2 linked regions of the Tribolium castaneum genome follow. The protein of the gene in region 1 purifies or fractionates together with the protein of each later gene. This does not show direct contact. Links are inferred from orthologs where the notes say so. Each region holds a gene or a part of one and is shown on either strand. Other genes may lie near its edges.

Region 1 (9,614 bases):
AAGGATTTGAAACATAATTATTCATCACAGTTCCTAATAGCCCTAAAAACTGAAAAAACTTATTGTTTATCTGTACTCTGAAACTACAGTAGATATTTGGAGGAGCAGCCACAGGGTGCACCACATTGAATTATTGATTTATTATTTATTTACTGATAAACAAACATTTTTTATTTTCTGAACAGTCTGTATTAGTGGCTTATACAGCGTGCTCAAAAACTGGCGCACCAACTCAATGGTGTGTGGTAGAGAACTGGTTACATATAAAGGTAAAAATAGTAAAAAAAATTTTTGTATTAAAGTTATTGATAAATAACGGATTTTAGATAAATGATATGTGGCAACGTTGTCTAACAGTCATGATCGCAATAGAATTTGAGCATCAATAAAAATAAATTATTTTTAAAACGGTTTCCTAGGAAATAATTCCCAGTGTTGTCACATCTACACATTGTGATTTTTTTGATGAATTTTAATTTTTTTAAATTAAAAAAACTGCTAAAATGTGAAAGTAAATTTAAAAATAATTATTCATCGTTTTGTTACGGAACGATTACTTGGTATGAAACATAAAAACATAAAAAAATAATGAAAACCAAAGAAGTTAACACAATAAGTTTATAGCTCCAGATTTTTTAAAATATGACTTTGGGAATTTTTTCAACATTTTTCCCGTAATCTGCACTTGCTTCTCAATAACGTACCACTGGTGCGCCAGTTTTTGAGCACCCTGTATCTACGTGAAGCACCTAATATCGCATATAATATTAATGATTATTATTAAAGCCAATACCATGCCATAATTTGAATTTATTATATCTATTATAGAGTAGGCGGTTTTCTTCGTTTATGATTGAAAAGCTTCAATTGAAGGAAAAAATTCAATCTAATTAACTCGTTCGAAATTGTTATTTCACTCTTCAGATTAATTGTTATAATCAACATTTTCACACAAGTTAAAAAAATGTTAAAGCCTAGTATAATTATAAATTTAAATGATCACGTGGTATTAATATTAAACAAATAACATCTTCAAATTTAATACAAACAAAAGTATTTTCTCCATTTTTATTTGTAATTGAAAATAATAATTGAGAAAAATTTGCGTCATTATGAGGAAATATTGCATAAGAAGTTAATTTATAACTCAAATTTAAATTAAATGATTTTTATGGTTATTTTAATTTTTTTTAATCCAACTACATTAGATATCACGATTAAATTGCAAACAAAAAAAAACAACTTCAATTAAATTGGAACATTTTTTGCCAAAATTTTACAAAATAAGTTCTCAAATTTTCTCTTCGTTTCAAACTTTCCTGTACTCCCGAGGTAACTCCCTTATTCTAAATTTGAATGTATAGTTTTTGGGCGTATTTTTACTAAAAATCATACTAACGCCCGGTTTTCAGTTGACTGTTAAACCAAAGATATTTTGGTTACAGTTTATTTCCTGGATTGACGTATTTCATTGCTTGGCTATGATTTAACCAAGTTTAAAATGTTTACCGAAGGAAATGTGTCGGGTTATCAACTTTTTTCAGGGTTAGTCATACTCGTGAGATATCACGCCACTTTTTGCGACCCGTTTTTAGGTGTGTTTTGGTAAAATCCGTTTTTTGTGATTTTTTCAAAAACTGTAAGAGATAGTATAGGAAGTATTGATAAGTCACCGTAAATATCGATGTTTTTTCGATTGCCGTTAAGAAAATGGGGTCGTTTCATTTGAAAAAAAACTGGGTTATAGCAGTTTTTTGATAACCATTTTCAAAAAATAATATTATCCATGAATTGGACAGATGACAATTTTGAATAACCTTCGGTTATCGAATGCAAAAAAATATTCACTTATCGCAAAGCGTGCAAAGGCTGTGATATCTTAGATAAACCCTTGCAAATGAAAATTTTTACAAAAAAATTGACATATGTCAAAAATTATAACAGATATAACTTGGGTAAATTTTATTCAGCTTAAGAAGGTGAATTCAAATATGCAATCAAAATGTGTGGTTACTATTTAAAATTTCAAACTTGGCGCCAATTTTTTTGTAGTTCCGGAAGCTTAACCATTTTGAAAATAAGTTAGTTGTACTCAGAATGGTCGACTTGGATCGTATACAAAATTCTTAAGCTCTAGCCACAGATCTGTGCTCTAGCTGTATTAGATGTTAAAAAGTTTTATTTAGAATCACCCTATATATTAGCTCAATGACCCTGAATGATAGGAAAGAGGGGAGTTGTTGGCCTTGTAAAGGGGGTAATATGAGAGCCTTGACCTTGAAAACATTAAGGTCCAATAATGACTTTGCTTTGAAGTGGTGGGGGAAGTGGGAGGGGTTGCCTTGAAAAAGTAGAGAGAGAGAGAGAGAGAGAGAGAGGGTCTTGAAAGAAAGATAGGGGAAAATGGGCCAAGCTATGATCAAGGTTGTGTTGTGTTACCTCTCATTCGTTATTTACTAATAAAAACTAATTATTAAACACTGACCGGCTCGTTTGCACAAAAGAACGGAGGAAAACAGTGAAAATTATAAATGAGAATTTTGCAAAACTTTATATAGAAAAGTTGTTGTGTTTGACGAGTTTTATTACGTGGTAAAATTAACACACGTACAGGGTGACCCAGCGGTGCGTAATCGGTCTATAACTTTTTTGCTATTTGAAATATTGCCATGACATTTTTATTATCCGATAGATCGACTTAAAATCCACAAACTAAAAATATTTTTATTATGCACAGGGTGTTGTATACAACACAAAGTTATATTTTTTTTAAATGGAACACCTTATATATTTTTGCATAATTGGATTCTACGCAAAAAAATAATGTAACTTTATGTAAACTGTTATGGGTCTATCTCTTTTCGTTTCGGAATTATTCAACTTTTCGTTATAAAAAAGACCAATTTTTTAAAAATCACTGCAAAGTCGCTTATGAATAATTTCCGATAAATATGCAACAGAAAAATTCAGAATACCTTGCAGTTTTAGTAAATCGACAACTTTTAGTTAAAGCACGCAGATAATATACAGGGTGTGCCAAAACGCAAAAAGTTAAATAACTAATTTTTTTCGAATGGAACATCCTGTATTTTATTAAATGTATCGAAAGCATTTTTGATAAGCCTTCTAACGGTATAGGGTTTGCATAGCAAATTTAAAATATTTTTCCAAATTGTTCAAAAAAAATATATTTTATTACAAGAAAATTTGTTAGCCTAGAATCTGATAGTCAAATAGTAATTAATTTTTTGACATGTACTAATGTGACTAATTACACAAGTAATCTAATTATTACCTGATACATAAATGAATTTCACTCATCAAGAATTATTGAATAAAATAAATAAAAAATTTATTTTTTATTTTTTTGAACACTTTAAGAAATATTGTAAATTTGCTATAAAAACCGCATATCAATAGAAAGCTTATGAAAAATGCAATCGACACATGTAAATAAATACATGGTGTTCCATTAAAAAAAAATGAGTTATTCAACTTTTTGCGTTTTGGCACACCTGTACATTATTTCCGTGTTTCAAGTAAAAATCGACTATTTCCTAAGACTACAGGGTATTCTGAGTTTTTCTGTTGCAAATTTACCGAAAAATATTCATAGGCGACTTCGCAGCGATTTTTCAAAAATTGGTCTTTTCTATAACGAAAAGTTGAATAATTCCGAAACGAAAAGAAATAGACCCATAACAGTTTATATAAAGTTACATTATTTTCTTGCGTAGAATCAAATTATGCAAAAATATATAGAGTGTTCCATTTAAAAAAATATAACTTTTGTTCACTACCCTGTATACAACACCCTGTGTACAATAAAAACATTTTGAGTTTGTGGACTTTAAGTCGCTTTATCGGATAATGAAAACAGAATCGCAATAATTTAAATAATAAAAAAGTTATAGACCGATTACGCACCCCTGTGTCACCCTGTATTTCTGATACAGCCTGTATAAATTTTATTGTTTCAAATTTCTGTCTCCATCTATTATTAAGATACAAGGCTAACTTGATTTTTTTTAATGTCAAGAAGGATCAAAGAAAAAAATGTTACTGCCAACTTTAACAAATAAGGAGAAAAATATGACATGAAAAATCAACACAACTTTGGTGAAATGAAATCGCTAAAAAAGTGAATTCTATTATCAATTGAAACGGAGAGTAATAACAATATTTTCAAAGGTAAGTTTTCTTTTCCAGAAATCCAGAATACAATGTTTGAATTTAATTTTTTTTTACCTTTTATTAAAGATAAAGGTGGGTTCTTACATCATTGAATTAATAAAAAAATGCTCTTTAAAAATTATTAAATTTTACCCTTCGTGCCATTAAAAAATCATGTTAGTCTTGTATTTTTTAAATAAATGAAAGAAATAGAAAATTGCAATAGATTTCAGGTGATAGAATTTAAACTCTTGTAACTGTCCCCCAAATTTCAAGGCGCTCTGTTAAACTGTTCTGAAAATATTTAGCTGTATCCAAACATTTTAGCAACCCTGTGTATGTGTTAATTATCTCTTCATCTAGTTTTGAATCATTTTCTCCTCTTTCTAGAATATATTTGACGTACTAGACCTTAAGGAACTCTGCCAAGCTCGTGCGCGAGCGAACCCTTTTGAAACAATCCGTTCCGTTTTTTTCATGAATCGAGCGTCGTTAAAAATGGCAAACATTGACGCTGCAACCGATTTCATGTTCACAAACATAAATCACAGCCACCATGAAGATTCCGGACCTTACTATTTTGCGGACGTTTGTGCCGGGCCTGGGGGATTTACCGAATACATTTTATGGCGAAAAAAATGGATGTTTAAGGGATTTGGTCTCACATTACGTGGTGATAACGATTTTAAATTAACGGAGTCACTTTGTGCCTCTCCTGTCACTTTTTTGCCACTGTACGGAGCCAGCGGTGACGGCAATGCTTGCTCTCCTGAAAATATCAGCGATTTTTCTGAGAAGGTTTTGTTCGAAACGGAGAACAAAGGAGTGCATTTCATGATGGCAGATGGCGTACGTTTGGAAAATATTTCTCGCATTTTTTCAAGGTTTTTCTTGTCGTTTTTTAGGGGTTTTCCGTTGAAGGGAACGAAAATATCCAAGAAATTCTGTCCAAAAGTTTGTACATTTGTCAGTGTTTGATTGCTTTGGAAATTTTGCGTAAACATGGTCATTTTGTGACCAAAGTATTCGACATTTTTACTTGTTTTAGTGTTGGACTTTTGTACCTAATTTATCATTGTTTTGAGAAAGGTATTTTTTTGTTCCAAAATTGCTCGTTTCTAATTGGCTATTTTAGTATGCATTTTGAAACCTAATTCGTCAAGGCCTGCAAATTCGGAACGATACGTCATTTGTTGTAATTATAAGGGCCGGGAAAATGTTGAAAGCATAAGAATTTATTTGAAAAAAATTGTTCAAAGATTGTGGGAACTGAAAAACGACAATAATTTGGACGTAATAGAAATCGTACCTTTATCTATCCTAAAAAGCGATCACAATTTCTATTCGTACGTTTGTGATAGTAATAATAGGTAAGTTTTTCGAATTTATGCAGACTGAACCAAAAGTAACGCACAAAATTTATCATATCTTTGTTAGTAATCATTTTTCAAAAAAAAAATCCTTGAACAGATCGCTTTTTTTTTTAAATGACAACCTACTTTTTGTTCACTGTTTTAGATAAGACACATCTTTTTGGTAGAAGAAAAAATTTCAAATGAAATTAAAAATTAAATAATATTTTTTTGCACTTTTGGGGCTAAAGTGGGTCATTTATTCCCTAGGAATTAATTATGAACTGAACCCCCTAGAGAGTTTATTTATTCCCTCTGGAATAAATGACCTACTTTAGTCCCGAAAGTGCAAAAAATATTTTTTTATTTTTTAATTTCATTTGATATTTTTCTCTTCTACCAAAAAAATGTGTCTTATCTAAAACAGTGAACAAAAAGTAGGTCCTTAGGAATTCATTATGAACTGAACCCCCTGAGAGTTCATTTATTCCCTGTGGAATAAATGACCCACTTTAGTTTCTGTAGACAGAAACTTCGTAAAGTAACTATTTTAGTCTCGGAAGTGCAAAAAATAGCGTATTTACCTCGGGATCAAAGTGCCTAAATACCTTAAATGGTTGTTGCCCTTTAACAAATTCCACTCGCGGGATTAAATGCTGCACTTTAGTCCCTCTATATATTGGATGTTTTATTCTCATCCCACAAACGCTGCTAGAAAAACGGTAGGTGATTTTATTGTATACAAGGGGTCCGTTTTCTGAGTTCCACCATGGGGATCTCCGTTATTATAAGAGATACGAGGTCGATTGAATTAGGGCAAAGTTGCGCATGTTTATGCTGAACAATCATCTGCAAGAAAATTTGATGTGTCATTTTTAAATTTTGAATTATTGGAAAAAACGGAAACTTGTAATTTTCGTTTTTATTTTTTCAAGTGAAAATGAAAAGAACTAGACGTTTTTAACTAAGACGTTCTTCAGGTACTTTTTTACAAAAAATCTGAAACCGTCATCGTATTTTTCAAAGCGATCTTGATGTCAGAGTTACTACACTCAACTTTGTTTTTTTTATAGAACCCATATTCGCTTTTTGTATTTTTGAAAAGTGTTTTTATTCTTGGTTACAACGATGTATCACATTGTAAACGTTGATCAAAATGGAGAAAAAAGCATTTTTGCGAAGAGTGCTTTGGAAAAACGTCCAAGATTTTGTTTTTAAACAAACTAGATTTTGGAGGTGTAATTGAATTTGGATCTGGAAGGTTCATTTTTCTGCCAAGCTTACGTATTTAAAAGACTTTTTAGTTATTTAGTTTGCTAGACAACATTTTTGACGTTCTTTCCAAAGCACTTCTTTGCAAAAACGCTTTTTTCTTAATTCTAATCAGCATATAAGATTCGATCATATCATGGTGATACATCATTGTAATCACAAACAAAAAGACTTTTCAAAAACACAAATATTAAATATGGCGTCCATAAGAAAAACCAAATTTGAGTGTTGTACCTCTGACATCAAAAACTCCTTGGAAAAGATAATGACAGATTTAAAATTCTTGTAAAAATGTGCCTAAAGAATGTCCTACTTAAAAGCGTGTAGTTCTTGTGGTTTTCGCTTAAAAAATAAAAACGAAAATTACATACAAATTATTTATTTTTCTCAATATTTCAAAATGGCACATCAAATTTTCTTTCAGATAATGGTTCAGCGTAGAAATGTGCCACTTTGCCATAATTTAACCGACCTCGTATCTCTTGTAATAACTGAGCTCGAAAAACGGACACCCTGTATAAGCGGCAATTATTTTTTATATTGGTTTTTGGAAAAATTGCATGAAAACATTTAATATGATGTCTAAACTCAAAACATTAACAAAAAAACCTTCATATCTTTATAATATAAAGCAAGAACGAAAAAATTACGCTCTTTGTGTAATACTCTTAATAACTCTTACAACTTTTTTATTTTACTTTCTTCGTTTTTAATTTTTTTATACCTGTGTTTATACTTAGTACCGTAATCATAACGTTAGAAGTGAATGTAAAAAAAATCGACTTGTTCGAGGATTTTTTTTTAAATTACTCATAACCAAGATATGAATTTTGTGCGTTACTTTTGGTTCAGTATTTTGATTCTTTAACACTACTTTTGCAGAATAGCCAAAAACCAAACGATAAGTCTACAAAAACTTGCCGCTTTTTGTAGAAACCCTTTGTTGACAGAGTACCGACAAGAAGAACTGAGAAGACAGTGTCTAGATTATTGGAAAATTCCAGACAAACCTAAAATACCTCTCCCCAAGTACACAACGGAGAACCTACTTGACGAAACAGTCGAAAATAGAGGTGTGTCATTTTTTTAATTTTAATTTTTTTCTTTAATATTATTTTTACCAGAATTACTTTTGGTGCAACCACGTGAGATATACTCAATTGAACAATTACAAACGGTTGTGGATGACTTAAATGACTGGCATTACGCTCTAATGCAATGTAAAAGAGCCACAAACATTTGCAACTTTTATGCAGGTATTAATGGTTAGGTTTATTAATCCCCGGTTAACATACGAGTTAATTATAGGGGTGGGATTATCGCGAGTCTATCGAATGCAGGGTAATAAATGGGTGAGAGTGAAAAATTTGCAACTGGTTCGAGGGACCTTACTGTATGGAGAATTGGTAAAGGAAAAATGTTACATGGAAGAATCAGTTGGAAAAGTTGGATATAAGTATAGTTTACACGTAATAGACGCATTGCGATTGGGAGACCTCTACTTGACTGATCTAAAATTTGACGAAAGGTAATTTTAACTCTCTAGATGAATTTTAAAACTTCTTCATTTTTTTTGTAATATTTTGAATTAGTATACAAGGTGCCCCTGTTAAAAGTATTTTCTATTTTATCTCAAAAACGAATTATCATCCAGAAGTGAGCATAATTTTTCAGAATTTTTCGGTAATTCCTTACAACAAATATTAATTTTAATATTAATCCAACATGCAATAACTATGCATATTATTTAGGGTGCATAGAAACTTTATCCCATCTTACAAAATTTATTTGATTTAAGACATTATTTAACAAAAATAATGGTCAACATTTATAAATCAGCCTTTCCAGGAAAAATGTAACCTGACCCCAAAATTCAAAAATGATTTTAGTAATATTAAGTCTCTTTCAAGCTACACGATTCGGTTTATATTTAATGTATTTTGCGAGAGAACGGATTTTGACAGAGGATATTATTATTATTATTATTATTATTATTATTATTATTATTATTATTACAACTGTTGAATATTTTTTGAAAAGTATTTTTCTGGTTTCTGGTAGTTTAGAAAATGGAAATCGGTAAATAAATTGATAAATAATATTACTTTTTGATCTTTATAACTTTTGTTGTATCATCCGTTATCAAAAACATAAAATGTTCTTATTTTTTACGTTGTTAGACAAAACCAAGAACTTTTAATTTCCACTCTCTAATTAATATTTAAAACCTGTCCGAGTAAATTTTTTAGAGCTATTTTCACACACAAGTTTTTTTTGTCCCGTCTGTCATATGTAAACAAAAAATAAACTGATCAGAAGTCGTAGCACATTGCCTTATTTTTCGGTTTTGTGGTTTTAAAAGTTTCAACAAGTTCCACCTTTTACTTTAAAAATAGTTGTTGGAATTAGTGCCTTTTAAATTAACAGAATTTTAACACGAATGTTCAACGATAAAAATGTGTTTTTGTGTCCCGTCCGTCATCAATTTGTATTTCTTTTTCCTACTCTTATTTCATATTTTAAAAATGTGCCTCTAATTGTAAGTTACAAAGAATTTGACTGGTACTAAAATCCTATAAAGAAAAATTCACTTCTACTAATACTGGGCGTCAAAAACTGAAAATGAAATCTAAAAATTTGTCCGTTTAAATGGAATGGCTGAAATACTTTTATAAACTTTGGTGCACTTTTTAATTTTTCTGTTCACATTCTTTGGATTGTAAATTTTAATGTGTTTGACTATTTTAATTTTAAATTTCTGGCGTTTATATGCTCATTAAATCATAAATTAACAAAATTCATTTCGCACTTTTGATG
Region 2 (10,105 bases), on another chromosome or scaffold:
AATGAATGAAAGTGGCTTGCTCAAAATTTAATGCAAATAAACATTTATTTTTGGCTTCATTTCTATTATTATTATTATTATTTTTAATGCTACAAACGGTAGCCAACGTGGAAGCGATATGAAGGTAGGTGTATTTTATTGCTGTGTCGTATTTATTTATTTCACAAACCAATAATTTCATAAAACTTAAATGCAATTAAAATCTTTAAATGCGGTGTTGAAAAGTGATATTTTGAGTGACACATTTTAAATACAGTAACTATAAATAAAATAAAACACTCAAATAATTTACTGCCACGTAATTTTGTCTTTAATTTCAATGAATGAAAGTGGTTTGCTCAAAATTTAATGCAAATAAACATTTTTTTTGGTTTCATTTTTATTATTATTTTTTTAATGCTACAAACGGTAGCCAACGTGGAAGCGATATGAAGGTAAGTGCATTTATTTACTGAGGTATTGAATTTGATTTGAATTTGAATTGCCACAAATTGAAAGGTATTGTGAATTTTTTATTTTGTTTAATATTGACAAACGTTGCTTGTTGTAACTTTAATGCAAATAAAGATTTTTATTGGTGTTGTTTTAATTTTTTAAATGTCTTGCTACAAACAGTAGCCAACGCAGAAGCCATATGAAGGTAGGTGCATTTTTTTGCGTTTTATCTTGTGATGTGTTGATTTAATAGCTTCTGTGCCATATATATTTACCGTATTGTGTATCCTTTATTCTGTATAATATTTATTAAAGTCGCTTGTTGTAACTTTCCTACAAATTAATTTTTTTGTTGGTTATGTTTTTAATTTATTTTTTAGGTTTTGCTACAAATGGTAGCAGATGCAGTACAAAAGGTAAGAGCATTTATTTAACGCCAAGTGAAAAAGCTTTGATTTTTGTGTACTATTTTTTCATTTCACAAACCAATAATTCCTTTATTCCCTTCATTTGAAATAATCATTGTTTACCTCATCCTTATATCCTTTTTTCCTGGCAAGAATGCTCTAAACCTCCACGTGGTTCTTGCCGGACAAATTAGTTATTGACTAATTTGACCAATTAGAGCAATCCTTAAATATAACATTGTTGATTGTTTTTTACAGCCGTAAAATTATGTCGCTTGTTGTAATTTTCATGCAAATAAAGATTTTTTATTGGTGTTGTTTTTAATTTTTTTTAATGCTACAAACGGTAGCCAACGTGGAAGCGATATGAAGGTAGGTGTATTTTATTGCTGTGTCGTATTTATTTATTTCACAAACCAATAATTTCATAAAACTTAATTGCAGTTAAAATCTTTAAATGCGGTGTTGAAAAGTGATATTTTGAGTGACACATTTTAAATACAGTAACTATAAATAAAATAAAACACTAAAATAATTTACTGCCACGTAATTTTGTCTTTAATTTCAATGAATGAAAGTGGCTTGCTCAAAATTTAATGCAAATAAACATTTTTTTTTGGTTTCATTTTTATTATTATTTTTTTAATGCTACAAACGGTAGCCAACGTGGAAGCGATATGAAGGTAGGTGTATTTTATTGCTGTGTCGTATTTATTTATTTCACAAACCAATAATTTCATAAAACTTAAATGCAATTAAAATCTTTAAATGCGGTGTTGAAAAGTGATATTTTGAGTGACACATTTTAAATACAGTAACTATAAATAAAATAAAACACTCAAATAATTTACTGCCACGTAATTTTGTCTTTAATTTCAATGAATGAAAGTGGTTTGCTCAAAATTTAATGCAAATAAACATTTTTTTTGGTTTCATTTTTATTATTATTTTTTTTAATGCTACAAATGGTAGCCAACGTGGAAGCGATATGAAGGTAGGTGTATTTAATTGCTGTGTCGTATTTATTTAATTCACAAACCAATAATTTCATAAAACTCAAATTTTGTTGACGTTTGTGAAATTTTTACTTGTCAGCCGCGCATCGGTACCACGTTTTTCTTCAATAATCTGAAATTTTAAATCCGCCAATAGGATTTCTTTTTCCCGTAAAACACTAAGGCCATCTATCCGCTTCATCAGTAAAACCTATTTCAGTGAGGGCTCGATTTGGCTATATCAGTTCGGGATACCTGGGTTAGGTGTCACGTGGACGTGTGTAGGACAAGAAAAGCACACTCGCAGAACAGGATATCGACAGAAACGCACAAAACTGGATAAATTTTTCTAATGTTTTTCAGAGGAAAATCTAGGAGAGGAAGTTGTAAAAAGGTGAAGGATAAAAATCACTTCTTGTGAAGACTTAAAAAATATCGACTCTTTATTGGTGCCAATAACATACTTATAAAGTACAATTTCTGAGCTCAAACCTTCAATTTTATCGCTAAACATTTATACATATATTTTCGAAACGTAGAATGCTGTAGCAAAATGTAACATCAACGCTAGAATATTAACACAAGCCAGTTTATAGATTTATCCAAATATACATATAATAGTGAATAAATTATTATTGAACATCAGTTTATTTTCGTGGAATGAAGACTAAGTAAAACGCAAATACACACCAAATTGCAATAACATAGGCATTTTTAAACAAAACTAAAAACCGTGTTGGTATTGTTTAGAATCTAGACGATTTTGTATTATTTCCAGTTGACGTTTAGCTTCACATTGTGGGAAATTTTGAAGATCGTAATACTGGGGGGCTATTTTAATGAGCCAGTCCGCTAAAAATACAAAGTTAGGGAAACACAAAAGGAAAGGACTACTCACGTTTAATATCTGTCACGGTCCTGATGTAATTTTTCGTGGTCAAAACGAACTCATTGTAAATAACCCACTCCGGTTTGTGATCCAAACATGTGGACGGGTGTAGTTGAACATTTTGGTTGTCCTTGATAGTAAGGTAGTGACCGGTTCTTTCCAAATGCGCCACCTCGAGTTCAAAACAATGTACTACAATCATCACTAAGAAATTTATTATTACCTGCATGAAAAACCCGTTAACTAAAGCCTTCCTTATATTAATATAATAATCCTTGCTGGTGAAATCTGTCGAAGTTCGCTTGAGATTAAACCGGTCCATAATTCTTGACAACTGTTGTCTCACGTTATCGGCAGATTTCAAGGAACGGTAATTGACAAAGTTATCATAGCACCATTGTGGATCTTCCATACCTAACCCAAACACACCAGTCAAACACAATTACTTGGTAAAACTCGCAAAAACTTACTTTGTTTGAAAGCATGGTAGACATTGAGCAGCGTCAAATGGTCCCCGTCAATATGCGCGAATCTCATTTTTGCATCGTCGGCCGCTTTCTTCGCCTCATTTGGTCGGATGAAGCACTGTGGGACTAAACATTGGAGCAGGGCAGTTGCCCGTATCCAACCAATATAGTTGCGCTCTCAAGCGTTTCCTACAGAGCTACCTTAGTCAGAACGACTCGAGCAAAACAAACCACAACATTGTGGTGTTCTGTTCTGTTCAATGTCTGTTATTTCAAGCATTTATTAGCTATATTACTAGCGGTTTTGCTCGAAAATCGTTCCGAATAACACGAACCCGCGTGACAACAGACCAATAAACAGGTAGCAGTTGATAAAGTAAAATTCATGGACAACAAACCACTTTCATTCTTCATTAAACAAAATCAACATTAAGATGCATCTAATAAACATTTTAAAAAATATTGTTTTGCACAAGCGTTTGAATTATTGATTACGGAGGTTTCGGAAATTGGCTGAGTCGTATATTCAACAAAAAATTTAGTTCATTAATAACGATAATGGTTTTTTGCTCCGACTATTATTCGGCATCAACTACCACAAAATCAAAAATATAATTTATTACTTATTAGTCTCCAAGCATAAATACTGTGGTAAAATCGTTTAAAAATGGGAACCTTTAATTCTTTTGAGGTTTGTTATGTGGCAAGTAGTGAAAGTACATTCAACGCTGCCAATTAAATAAACCAAAACAGTGAAAATGAAAAAATTATTTTGAATGAGTCTAATCGGAATAAATAACCAAATCGACGTTTAAAGCAAGGGCTGAGGGCCTGCTTCAGAAAAACGTTAATAAAATAAATACCTGACAACATCGCCGTAATGGACAGTATCTCATTGGAACAGTTGTGGTTGCAGCTGGCAATGAGCATTTTCGCCAATTGTGGATCGAGCGGAAACTCGGCCATAACCGCCCCCAAATCGGTGAGATTTCCATCATCATCCAACGCCGCCAAATAATTCAACAATTCCAAGGCCCTCATCAAGGTTTCAGGCGCCGGTGGATCCATGAAGTCAAAATGAACCAAATCATCAATTCCCAGTTTCTTCAATTGTAAAACGACCGAACCCAAATTCGATCGTAAAATTTCTGGATAGGTGTTGTCTTGCATTTCGTTCTTGTATGCTTTTTCGGTGTAAAGTCGGAAACATTTCCCCGGCCGAGTCCTTCCAGCTCTTCCGGCACGCTGCTGTGCTGAGGCTTTACTAATCGGCGAGACCAATAACGACTCGACACGAATTCGAGGATTGTAGACTTTTTGTTTCGCAAATCCGGGATCTATCACAAACACGACACCGTCTATAGTCAAGGAAGTCTCCGCAATGTTGGTCGAGACGACAACTTTGCGTCCGATCGCCCCATTGGCCTTATTAGGGGGCGCCTCCTCGAAAATACGTTGCTGCAAATTCGGAGGCAGCGTCGAATACAACGGGATACATTTTAGTTCGCCCACTTCGGGGCCCAGATTATCAATTTCGCGTTTGATTCGTTTGCAAGCAACTTCGATTTCCTCCTGACCGGTCAAAAATAGGAGAATATCGCCGGCTATTTCCTCACACATGTGGATTTGGATGACGGTACGGATGGCGGCTTCGAGATAATCGCGTTCCGGTTCGGGAGTATAGAAAATTTCTACTGGATGCGTACGACCGGGGACGTTCATTAAGGGAGCGTTATCGAAATATTGCTGGAATTTGCCAGCGTCTAGAGTCGCCGACATAATAACTAATTTCAAGTCGGAGCGTTGTTTAATAACTTCTTTTAAAACACCCATCAGAATGTCGGTGGCAAGGGTGCGCTCGTGGGCTTCGTCGAGCAAAATGCACTGGTAGGCGTCCAGCATTGGGTCGCTCATGCCCTCACGGAGCAACATACCGTCGGTCATGTACCTATTAAATCACACAGTTGTAATTTTTATGCTTTAACTTAATTTAACTTAACTGCTTTTGTAAATATATGATAAACGTAATAAAAAGCTCGAAAACGACAATTTTTTTTTTATTTCAAACCCAATTTACTGACTTTTCTGTCTGATTCATTAAAATTTCTCAAAAAAAAAACAATAATTTAAGTCCAAAAGAGAAAAAGAGTATTTTGAAAATAATAAAACCTCAGAAAACAAGGTTTAATAGAATTCGGCGAGGAAAAAACTAGTTTTTCACAAGGAATAATCATAATTGGGGAAGAAGACAAGAGTTTCTGGAAAATATTTATAGCCCCTCTTACTTGAGGATAGTTTTGGCCGACGAGCAGTCCTCGAACCGAATGCTGTAGCCCACCTCTTGCCCCAAGGCGACGTCCATTTCCTCTGACACTCTCTGGGCCACAGACATGGCAGCCACCCTCCTGGGCTGGGTGCAGCACACCCCCTTTTTCCCGACCGACCTGGCGAATTCAACGCACCACTGTGGAATTTGCGTCGTTTTCCCCGACCCTGTCTCGCCAACCAGCACAATGCACTGGTTTTCGGCGAGCAAACGCATGAAATCGTTGCGGTATTCAAAGACAGGAAGCGTGATGCGTTTGCGATACAACTCATGGTACTTATTGGTGTACGGCAAACCGGTGTGCGGGTTGATTGAGGCGTTGGTTACTTGCGGGGTGTTCGTTACTGCAGTGCTAATCCCACGTTCTTCCCTGAAATATCACGAGGCGGAAAATGTGGCTGAGTGACATTTGTGGTTACTCACCTTTTCTTCTTTATAAACGGATCCAACACTTCGATTCTCCTTTTAGACATTGTTAGATAGACTACGGCTAATAGTAACAAGCTCTCGAATTGTCTACTTGTTAACAAATAAAAATAAATTGCATTAAAGTTTGTTTGGAAATAAAACTACGACCACGACTCCATGCAACTTTGCACGGTCGATAGAGCAGAGCGCTGCCGTTTTATTGACGTTTATTTGCATGGCGACCGAAAGCGGGAGTTTAAATTTTTTGGAAAATTAAGGGGAAAAATGAAACCACGAAATTATTGTACACCGTATAACAATTTATTAATTAAACTTTATAACAATAATATAATTTGGTTTTTAGTCAGTCAAAATTATGTGTACTGCGCGAATATTGCTGATTCTGGGGAGAAACATATTAATTGCAACTTTTTAAACCGACTTCATGTAAAATTTTTCGCATAAGTTGTTTTATGGGACATGCCTCTGATGCGAAAATAGTAGTAATGTAATTAATTGTGCCCTGAATTTAAAATATATTTTAATTAATTAATACATTTATAGTACAGCACGTATGAAATTTGTTAATCCTATCGTCACTTTTTAATTAAAATTTTACACAGTTACATGTTTATGAAGTGTGTTAGTGCCGTCTGGCCATCTTGTTATACAAAGAATAGTAAAAAATTAATACAGTTTAAGAAATCTTAAGTCTATTACCACATTTAACCGTATCATTTAAAAAGCTCATTTTGTTGGCAAATCAGTAGTGATGGTTGGCTCTTGTGATTGTAGTTCTCGATATGCATGTGATGTATTGCATATTTGGTAATTTACGGACATTGCTCTTTTGCTGACTGAACGCAATAACAGATAACAGAAAGAAATCGATTTTAAGACATCTACTGTTACGATATATTTCACTATATCATATAATAATCGTATATTTTGATTAACATTTCCTAGATATTTATTTAACTAAACTAAATAAAAGCCGAACTTATCTCCTAATATCTACAACGATCAAAACGAAATTTTAGTCCAACAGTTTCTATTTTAAACAGTAATTCGATGAAGTCTATTCACTTTAACCACTTAAGGAAGAACAAGGATCTTAAGCTAAACTGATGTAAATACGGATAAATTTACAATTCTTGTACCTTACTCACAAGTTCAAACACACACGTGCTTTGAACTTGTGCAGTGTTACTGAACTACGGGAAAAATCGAATATCATTCTGAAGTACTTCCAGATTTTCGAATATTCACTTTTACAATAAATTTACGAGACCGCGTGTGTAATAAAGGGTGTAAAATTTCGTTACAATTTTGTGGTTCGTGTACGCTGACACAAAAATAATTTCAAGTTTTTTGTACTATTTCTCAAAAGCCAATAATAATGTGACGTTCTTTTATCAAAAATATTTGTCGTTTGGGAGTAAATTATGTTAAAATTTACATTTACGTCTTACAGTTTATTAATTCATAAAGAAAAGGCAAAGAGGCACTTCAGAATTAAATAAATTCAGGAAGAGAATCAGACACCTGTGCATGTAGACCCACGATTTTATTCTCTTAGCACTTTAAATTAGGCGGACAGACCCGGTCTGTTGATTGGGGTATTATACGATCGAAACAACTTCAGATCAAAATTATTTCAATCATAGGCTCGTTACGTACCTAATTACAGTCACATTCACAACTGACAGTCACTTTAGGTTTGGCCTGGATTAATTGCTACATAATAATCTCAATTCAACATCTTCTTTATCTAAGTTTTATTCGTAATATTAGCTCTAATTGACAAATCATAAGCAAGGTTTTCAAAATATATGCAGGAATTGTCTCCAGGTTCACCCCTTAAAATATTACAGTAAGAGTAAATTTCCTTAAAAAACATACAAAGCTAACTAAGAGCTAATCAGCCGATGGTCAAGCATAAGACTGTTTTGACTCCTCGTCGTTACAAAAATGGAACTCGTAAAGTGTGCTTTTCGCCCCTCCAGACGCAAAAACCTGTTCATTTTGGAAAATTGCAAACAAAATTTTCTGAATCTTCTGCGAAAGCTTCTGATTGTCCAAATACGGAATCGCTTCAGTTTTTCGTGTAATTTTTTGGGCTTTTTGGGTCTGGAGTGGGCGAAAGAACGCAAAGTTGTTGAAGTGTACGGATGGACGATGCTAAGACTGCGGCGCCGTGTTCCCGTCCGAGCAACCGCAGAAAGGCCGCGCGTGTCCCAGCCAGGCTGGCGCATCTCTCCTGCCACCAGGTCACTTTTCGCCGTCCGGTCATCACAGCACTGAGTCGAACATCTGCAGAGACCTAGTGATCACATCGTCTTTGAGGCACGATTCCATGAACTCCTCGATGGTGATGACGCCGTCCTGGTTGAGGTCCAGCTTCCGGAAGACTCGGTCGATTTGCTCGCGGGCCTTGCGGTCGTCCTCCACCTGGTGGGCGCGCCGCCCCATGAGTTCGTGCACCGCCACCACGATTTCGGACAGTTCGCCGCGGCTGATGCAGCCGTCACCGTTCACGTCATACAGTTTGAAGGTCCATCGGAGGCGCTCGTACACCGAACCGCGGAGCAACGTCGATAAGGTTATCAGCAGGTCCTGGGGGAAACACCGGCTTAGAAAATCCACTGCGATCGTTATGCATTCAGATTACAACCACGCCATGGAACAATCATAAATTCAAACGAATACATTAAAGGAATTTGCATTTTTTCTGACGCCCGATACTATTCCATCATTTCGGTTTAATCTGACGCGTTTAACCCCTTGCTGCTCCCAAAGCAAAGTAAATAAAACCACTTTAGCTTTCGTATTCATCACACAATGTTTTCGGTCATTTATTGTTTAAAAAATATAGTGAACATCTCACTTTTCTCATTCACAATTTGCAGTTCGTTTTCAAAACTTGTGTAATTTCTAATTTTTATAACAGACAAAAACACTAATCCCTAAAATAGACCTCTAGCATCAGTCATTCTCTCGGAAGTTCAGCTCATTCAACGTTTGTTTCCAACTGATTTTATCATGAACCTCTACTAATAAGGGACTGATTTAACGCTGGAAACAATAAAAAAATCACCGATAACGTATTAATGTTAAAAGCTTTGTTGGTTCTAATTTCAATTTTTTATTTTGAAGAATTTTTTCTTTATTTCAAAAGTTCATACGCTACAACTTCTCGAATAATAACTCAACGATTCAGATTGTTTTTGAGTCAGAAACCTCCTTATTTTGTGAGATGTTGAAGAAGAAAATGAAAAAAACACTACACTAGAGTTATTGTAGTGAATTCTGAGTGATTTAGTTATTGTTTAGCTAGAAAGTTACGTATTTCGAAAAATTTTATGGATATAATAGGAAATAATAAAGAAAATTAGGAAAATTAAAAAGTTAATAAAATACTTAATTGCGTTATATTTATTTATTTATTTCTCGATTTACTTATATTGTAATATCTACTCGTACTTATGTAATTTCGGCAAATACTGAGTGATTTCCTTAGTCCTAACTCACTGAAAACAGTGAGAGTCGTCCAAAGAAACCACATTATTTTATCTCAATTTTATTTCTCAACCCTTTTTGGTTCAAAGTGGCCCCCAGATTAGATATTATAGCAAAAATAAGACTCCATCATTGGTAAAATGTGCAATTGTGTCATGACTGAGCTAATATAATAGCTGTAACCGTCATTTATGTGTTTTTTCTGCATGCGGATTAATATGTAGGATTGTAATGCGGAGGTTAATTTCCTGGATCGATTTCTTCCACAAAAAGTGTTTGTGGCAGTTAAAATTAATTGAAAAAGTCGACCCATTTTCCGAGGTAAGCTATAAATTTGCAGAAATCATAAACGTAAAACGTGGAGATTTTTCGTCTGATAACTAATGTAACAAAACTAAAGTTTTGAAAATTACAGAGTAAGGTTGCGGAGTTTGTAACTTTGGCCATTCAAGCCAAATAAATGTTAAAATTTTTTTTCGCAATTGCAATCATCGTTCGATCATGACACAACATCGTGTGTCAATTATTAACACACCCACATATTAACTTTACACTTTGCACATTATAAATGGTTGTTGCAATTTGAAACACATAAAAGCGTGTGATTAATGTATCCTGAAAATCCAATAACTTTAACAATGGGGAGAATTTAATGATTC

What was found.
Region 2: the proteins of Cmtr1 (region 1) and Dhx15 purify together in Homo sapiens (co-immunoprecipitation; 3 studies listed by BioGRID and IntAct, with this or other methods). This does not show direct contact. The link is inferred for Tribolium castaneum from reciprocal best matches to the Homo sapiens genes CMTR1 and DHX15.

The regions. Positions count from the first base shown.
Region 1 is NC_087394.1:13,833,110-13,842,723, forward strand, and holds part of Cmtr1 (cap-specific mRNA (nucleoside-2'-O-)-methyltransferase 1), read left to right. Parts: intron 1-4,563; coding exon 4,564-5,022; intron 5,023-5,078; coding exon 5,079-5,262; intron 5,263-5,308; coding exon 5,309-5,543; intron 5,544-7,679; coding exon 7,680-7,870; intron 7,871-7,921; coding exon 7,922-8,053; intron 8,054-8,105; coding exon 8,106-8,325; intron 8,326-9,614. UniProt on the Homo sapiens protein: S-adenosyl-L-methionine-dependent methyltransferase that mediates mRNA cap1 2'-O-ribose methylation to the 5'-cap structure of mRNAs.
Region 2 is NC_087397.1:4,417,291-4,427,395, reverse strand, and holds Dhx15 (putative pre-mRNA-splicing factor ATP-dependent RNA helicase PRP1), read right to left. Parts: upstream 6,160-10,105; 5' UTR 5,993-6,159; coding exon 5,943-5,992; intron 5,890-5,942; coding exon 5,479-5,889; intron 5,142-5,478; coding exon 4,057-5,141; intron 3,320-4,056; coding exon 3,197-3,319; intron 3,141-3,196; coding exon 2,950-3,140; intron 2,899-2,949; coding exon 2,736-2,898; intron 2,690-2,735; coding exon 2,562-2,689; 3' UTR 2,263-2,561; downstream 1-2,262. Other genes in the region: Kv channel-interacting protein 1, read right to left, coding at 8,220-8,543.